Oryzias latipes: one gene and its partner. The protein of the gene in region 1 purifies or fractionates together with the protein of each later gene. This does not show direct contact. Links are inferred from orthologs where the notes say so. Each region holds a gene or a part of one and is shown on either strand. Other genes may lie near its edges. The genes, in order: klc2 and kif5c.

Region 1 (4,379 bases):
CAAGCTGTAGGTCGTGTGGCCATCCCATAATGATTTCAAAACTTCCTTGGGATATCCTTGACTCGTGTGTTTTGGTTTCGTTACTGTATTTTGAAAGATTTTTTTTTGGCCCCATAAGCGATTTTCGACCCATTCATTTTTTTTTTACAGTATTGCTCGCTGTGATGTCATTGTCTTTGGGGGTTGTCGTTCAATCTGCCAAAAACTCACTCCGAGAAAGATGGTGTTTTTGGCATGTTTTTCTCAATATGGAGGACATATAAAGAAACTTAAGCCTTATTTAACATTTCTGAATATTTCCTTCAAATTGTTTTAAATCAGGAGCAGATAAAAAAACTGCAACTTATTTGTGACGTAGAAATTATGCTGGGTGGGCCACAATCTCCCTGCTCCACTCCATTCTGATGCATACTCTTATAGACAAATAGATTCATGAACGTCTTTGTTTTCCTCGTCTGAGCTGACATCTGGTTCAAAACTGTACAGCTGGATAGCTCCAATATTGCTCGCCAGTTTTGTTGCACCGCTAATGTCAGGTTGGGGGTGTTGTTGTTGCTGAGTTGTGTTCCGCACAGAATAGAGGTGAATTTCTGATTAACTACTGCTGCTTTGGAGCAACTATGTCCTAGAAAACCACACAGTTTTTTTAAATTTGGCTAAAAATGGCTTGATGATAGTTAAAAGACCACTGGAAACAATTTTACAATAGATAAAAATGAGAGAAAAAATGATCAGTGTGGGTCATTAATGTCTGCCTGTGAGAATTGTAAAAAGTGTATGGTGAGGGGTTTTACAACCTTAAAACATCTATAAATATAGTAAAATTAAAGCTGGCTACTCTACATATTTTGTCTTTGCAGGTTATTTGTAGAACGCCTGATAAACAAGGGACCACCATACACAAAAAAAGGAAAATGATATTTATTCTGAGAATTTCTTTTTACAAAACGAAATAGTTTAGTTAAAGGGCCTATACCTTGTCAAATCAACAGCTTTTTTTATTTTGTTAATTCCTCACAAAAGACAACAACCCAAAGTGGTATTTTGATCCATTGACAAATTTCTGAGTATTCCTCTAAAAACCAGCTCTCGGAGCACCAGCCCCTCCCAATCCATGAAAATGAGTGGGTCCTCACCTTCACAAGTATAAAATGAGAAACAGCTCCTTCCAGGAAGAGTCTATGCTCCCAGCACCACCCCCAGGCTAAGACACACACCAACATTCTCCGTGGAGCTAGCAGGGATCGGCTAAACGCTTTACTTTTCTATGCACAATATGCACATCCATCTTTGCAAAAGTTCGAATGTCGTGTCTTTTCATAAGCGAAACGCAGACACACTGCCGAGGCTGGCTCTAGGCTGACGTCACGAAAGGGCGGCGCCCACAAGGAGCGAAAGACAGTGCCTCAGAGATCCAGTCGTGTTACTTCCAGGTAGGAAAATGAGCTGCGAAAATAACTGTTGTTTCTTTTAAAAAAAATGTTATTTAGTGTGCCAAAGGTAATATATTATCATATATATGGATTACTCTGAGCATGATACAGGCACCCTTACCAAAAACCTTCACCAACAAAACCAAATACTTGAATTCATGTTGTCAATATAGTCTTCAAGAATGATACTACACAAACATGTCTGAAATCTCATCCACTGATGTTGAGTATTTTGGTAAAAATGAAATAAAATATTTTTCCCAATATATTGTATGTTTTATCATGAGTCTGGCGATACGATATATATCGCAATACAGATCACGCGTCATTCGTTCTCATCTGGAGCCCACAACGAAGCATCACAATCCACGATTCTATATGGTATCGGCAGCAACGTTGCAGAGTTTTTGTTCGGGACCTATCCCAAGGAAAAATTAAGTCTCGTATGTCTCATAACAACAAAACTGAGAGGATGCCTGAACCTTTAGCATTTTACACAAGCTGATTCTTGTGGGATATTGTTTTGGTGCAGTGTAGAGCTCCTCGAAGAGGCTCAGTGGGCTGTGCTGCCAACTAGCGGTCGCAGGTTTAAATGGAAAATAAGAGTCAGACGCTAAAGGAAACCTAAAAATAAATCAATATCGTCTAGGCAGCATTTGTAATCGATACAAATATCGCCAAGTGAAATTTTGTGATACATCGATTTCCCCCTACAACCCTATAGTATATTACAGCTCTAAAATATTGATATTTCTCGGGCTGCGATGAAAATATCTGTTCAACCGTTTTGTTACAGAAGCCCAACTTTTGCAACTTGGTGCCTTCCATAATCACAGCGCACCTGTTTCCCCCCGCCCCTCCCCTGGCTGTTCCACTCACTCACCCATCTACCTACCCCCTCCCATCCGCCTCGCACACCGACTGCAATGCACCAATATTCACACTCTTAATTTCAGTTTTTCAAACCGCCGCCTGTCTAACGGGGGTGTAATCTATTTATTTGTCACATTCAATGGGAACGTTTTAAGTTGCAGACTGAAAGGAGGAAAATACCGGCGGATGCGTCAAGGCCTGAGACCGGGAGGGAGGCGACGTTTGTCTTGGCAGCGAATCAATCGAGGTGACCGACAAGGACGAAACTCGTAAAATCCACATTTAGTTTCTTCCGAAAAACATCCCAAAAATCATTCGCGTTTCGGCTCTCCACATATTAATGAAGCGTACAGGCCGCTCCCTTGCGTTTTACAAGGGGATGCACAATATGTCGCGCACTAATTTATTGCGCTTTGGAGGCTGATGTCCGTCATCAATGACAGTCATGAAATTTTACTACAGTCGACAAATTAAAGAAGAAAAAAACACAAAAATTATGCCCGATTGTGGCCCATAATTGCATACATAATCATTTTTCCAAGAAAAATATAATAAAAGATCATTTCCATAAATTATAACACTACAAAAATGTCTATATATTTGTAAAAACTCAGCTACCTTCGTCGAAAACGGTGCGACGCTTTCCGACTTCGGGACAAAGCAGCAGCTGAATGTTGTGATGCTTTGACCTGCGTCAGTCTGCGTCACTCGTGGCAACTTCCGGGAAGTTTTCAAAAATAAAAGCCAAAATACACCAGTGGTGACCCGTCCCTATCTTATTGGATAGGAAATAGACTTGCTTTTCTATTTACCGACGTCTTCATTAGCAAGTCTAATATAACCACCACCACCAAAACAACAACAATAATAATACTTTAAATCTCAAAATTATGTTCAGAAATCTGTAAACGTATTATTCCAGAAAGAGAACATTTATTTTGGAAAAGTGAATAGGCAAAAATTTAAAAACTAAATAGATTTGGATTTTTAATCAAAGAGTGATTACTACATATCTAGTGATAAAACTATTTTTAAAGAATGAAATGGCAATCTCTATACCATTTTGTTTTTGAAAAGAATAATTGAATAATTGAAGGGCCACATCCATTACTCATCCAGTGTTGGTCCTTGGCCAAGACCCTTCACGCTACTGCCTAATTATGTAGCTACAAGCCCCCCCCCCCCCCCAAGTCTGGGTCTCCCTGTGCAGTTCCCCACCCAGGATTAAATACAGGGTTGTGTGTCAGGAAGGGCATTCAACGCAACGTAACAACCCAAATGTGTGCCCTTCGTCAAGACTGATTCGCTGTGGCGTCTCTTGGCAGAATATGCTGAAAGTTAAATAACTCCACATTTGAACCAAACTGGTTATGTCCTAAGAAGCAAATATTAAGACTTCAATTTTTTTTTTAATTTCCCTACTTTGCTGGGCATCATAGTTGTTCCTTCCTCTCACCGACAACATCCTCTTTTCCTTGAATTGGCTTTGATGTCACGATGTTCAGAGTAACTTTTTTAGGGCTGTAAATGGTCTTCAAAATTATCCTATAGTAGATGATATGGTACAAAAGAGCAAAACAATTTGAAACTAAACAATGTTTCAAACAGTTCGTCCGATTCTGTCTTTTATTCTTAAATGTAATGCTGTTTGTTTTTAATTTAATTATGTTGATTTCAGACCAAGAAACCACTTATTAGTGATTAAGTAAACAGTAGAACCTATAATCCAAGTCTTGCTTGTTGATTAATCATTAAATATGAATGAAAAGGAGAAGCACATCAAACCTTTGTTCAATATATTTATTACAGAGGAGCTGACTCTTGTTGAAGCTCAAAAAAAGCTGAAAAGTTAAAGCACTGGGACTTCTTAATGATGGAGCAGTGAATGGAAACAAACATCACAACAGGTTTACAAAACAGGAACTTGAAGCTGAAGCTTCTTGTGGTGTTTGTACCTTTTTTTTTAAGTCAGCCTTCAGAAAACAAACATCTTTATTTTTACTCTGTGGACAGAGAACTGACCTTTAGTCATAGTACATACTTGTCATTTTTATACAATCATCTAACACAAGT
Region 2 (3,240 bases), on another chromosome or scaffold:
GATTGGAGGTTTCTTCAGTTAAAATAGGGAACCCAGCTGCGTGGCATCATGGGAAAATTAAGTAAATTAAATCAAAAACATCAGAAGTCATTTTTAATGTCAAAAAAAAAAAAATACAACAAAGAAAGCCAGTGAAACTTTTCTTTACCAGTACATCCCTATTGTGAAGCATGGTGGTGGCAGTGTCATGTTGAGGGATGTTGAATGTTGAGGCTCCTCTGCTAAAATGAGGAACTTAGCTGAATGGCTTCATAGAAAAATTAAGTAAATGGAACAAAAAACATCAAAAATTGTTTCATTTTTTAATTTTTGTAAAAAAAGAAAAACAGTTGAAGAAATCCTTTTCCGACCAGTTTCCTATTCTAAAGCACGGCTATGGCAGCATCATGATGAGGGAAGTTGAAACTCAATAAGTTTTGTGGCTTAACTTAAACCCAGCATGTAGTTCCACAAAATATTCATAGGTGGCGCTAAAATACGAGAAAAAAAACAAATTCAGCAAATCTGTTCGAGAATTTTACTAAAAATCTTAAAAGCAAAAATTAGCAAACACGGGCACGTTTTTTATTTTTCTTCAAACAGATTTTTGCTTAGTGTTCATTAATCTACCCGAAGCATGTGATCAAAATCGTAAAAAAATCTTTCTGCAAAGTCTGTTGTTTGGGGTAAGCTAACTCAGACGGGTGTTTCCAGCTGGTTCGCGACAACGCCGACCTCCGCTGCGAGCTGCCGAAGCTGGAGAAGCGTCTGCGAGTGACGGCCGAGCGCGTCAAAGCGCTGGAGAACGCCCTGAAGGAGGCCAAGGAGAACGCCATGCGGGACCGCAAGCGCTACCAGCAGGAGGTGGACCGCATCAAGGAGGCCGTTCGCGCCAAGAACATGGCCAGGAGGGGGTTCTCCGCGCAGATCGGTGAGCTTCTACCCGCTTTTTGGTAGTTTTGATCCAAAGAGGTTGCTCTAAATTTAACTGGTTCTGCTCCTCAGCCAAACCCATCAGGCCGGGTCACCCCCCCACGGCGTCCCCGATCTGTGGTTCCGTCAGAACCGGGACGGTCCGCTCCTAAACTGAACTCCCACACAGGTGAGGTTCTGGGCGGCCGTCGATGGCTTTTCTTGCTCTAAAAACTGTCGCTTCATCGCTTTTTAAAATTTTATTTTGCAGACAGTAAACAACTCTCCGCATGCCCACAACAAGCCCCGCCCCCCTCCTCCTGTGGCACCGTCAGGAAGCCTCCTCCCCATTTTCCGGTAGTTTTTTTTGTTCCTCTTGTAGGTGAAGTTTGTTGGAGGGGAAGACAAGGATGCCGCCGGAACACGCCTACCGCCGGACCTCCTGAAGGAGCGCCACCCAAAACACACCCTTTAAGAAAGCAACAAACAAGGAAAACACACAAATGCAGACATTTGAATGTTTCGTCATTTTCATTTTTGTCCTTCATTTGTCTAAAGTTTGTGTCTAAAACCATATCTATAAAAATGGTTTGTTTTTGTAAACTTGAAGGTTTTGTGACGTTAGCAAAACTGCGGATCCACAAAAGAAAATGCTCTCAAATATTCCATTTGTTGCCGTTTTTCTCGTCCTGCATCATTTTTGCAGATCTACGGTCTAGTGAAATAGTTGTGATGCAAACCTATGGAACACCCAAAGTGACAAAATTCATTTGAGGGGAAAAATAAGGCATGAAATTAGAATGTTCACAAATGAAAGAAAAACATCCTACAAACACATTTAAAACAAATATTTGCTTTGTTTATGTATTTAAAACTCTAACTTGTAATAATTAAGCTTTAGCTTAGCCACTGCTTTTTTTGTAACTACAAAATGCTAGCTAAAACAATTAGTAGCACTTTTTAGATTTTTGTCCCCAAATTTTCTATATTTGAACGCTAAATTATTTTACATCAAGCTCAACACGCTAGCAATCTGTACATTTAAGGTTTTAAATTTAGGACCAAGAACTGAGGCCCCGCCCACCTAATTACCATAGTTAGTGTCACAAAATTTCTTGACAAACCTCCGGACATTGTTTACACATTATTTGTATCAAGGTTTTATTAATTTAGTCTTGTTTAGACCTCCGTATTTATCGGTTCTTGTTCAGGATGTTGCAGTCTGATCGGCCAATCAGACGCTCCCTGACCTGCATCAGCGCCTCTCCGGGTTGTTTTTTTCTCTGCAGTTTCGGACAAATGATTTCCGACGTTTGTGCCTTTTGCGCTCGCGCTCGAATGTGAATGTGACCCTCTCTGGACGTGAGCGTCATCCGTGAAAGTTCTCTGTACTCGTCGCTGAGCATGACCGAGTTTCCTCCTGTATGTACCGAGGGAATCGAACGACACGTGAATGAACGTTCCTGCATGACGATGCATCCTCCAACCAGAAACCACATGTGTTTGTTGGGAAATCCAACGGGTAAAAAAAAATTTGCACCATTGAGATGTTTTATTTTGTAGAAAAAAAATAAAACTATTGTTTTGGTTGTTGTTTTGACTATGAAGCAAGTCACGTGACATGAATATTATCTTTTATATGATTTTTGTTTTATCAGGCAGATTTATTTTTAAGATAACACAAAAAAACATTTAAATGAATCTATTCATTTATTGCTAAACATTCTGATTGTGCAACAAAATGAAGACACAAAAGGAAAAAACATTTGTTTTTTTCAGGGAATATTTTCAGAGCAAGCAGAAGAATGGCGCTCAGTCACTTCTATCTAATAAATCTTTAAAAAAACATATTAACGTAAAACCAATTTTCAAAATGTACCAAATGAAATATTTGTTTTCTTTTTTAGTCAAACTTATGAAAAGTAATTAGTCACTGAATGTAAGTTTTTTCTTAAATGTTTTATTTATTACATTTGCAGCAATAAAGCTGTTTTATTTTGAAGGAAAAAGGCCAAATATTTTTTGTTTTCCTCTGACTGTAAATCAAGTCAACTTAAAGTTTGTTTTTGTAAATTATACAGAAAAAATGCGTCTTATTTTTTTCCCCCCCAAAGTTGATTTATTTAGAAGGAACACAAAAAAGGGTTAAAATTAATATATTTTTTGATTGCCAAATTTTCCAATTGTTTGACTCAATTAAAATGAAAACTAATTGTAAAAAATATTTACATCTTTTTCTTTTGTGGTAAAAAGGCGCCGAGTCACTTCTCTGGATGTATTATATAAAAATTAATCACAAGCATGAAATTTATCAAAATAAATTATTTGTTTACTTTTTGATTAAACTTG

What was found.
Region 2: the proteins of klc2 (region 1) and kif5c purify together in Homo sapiens (affinity purification with western blotting; 3 studies listed by BioGRID and IntAct, with this or other methods). This does not show direct contact. The link is inferred for Oryzias latipes from reciprocal best matches to the Homo sapiens genes KLC2 and KIF5C.

The regions. Positions count from the first base shown.
Region 1 is NC_019876.2:19,375,514-19,379,892, forward strand, and holds the start of klc2 (kinesin light chain 2), read right to left. Parts: upstream 3,047-4,379; 5' UTR 2,925-3,046; intron 1-2,924. UniProt on the Homo sapiens protein: Kinesin is a microtubule-associated force-producing protein that plays a role in organelle transport. The light chain functions in coupling of cargo to the heavy chain or in the modulation of its ATPase activity.
Region 2 is NC_019860.2:3,535,194-3,538,433, forward strand, and holds the end of kif5c (kinesin heavy chain), read left to right. Parts: intron 1-693; coding exon 694-910; intron 911-984; coding exon 985-1,064; 3' UTR 1,065-1,081; intron 1,082-1,162; 3' UTR 1,163-2,480; downstream 2,481-3,240. UniProt on the Homo sapiens protein: Microtubule-associated force-producing protein that may play a role in organelle transport. Has ATPase activity. Involved in synaptic transmission. Mediates dendritic trafficking of mRNAs.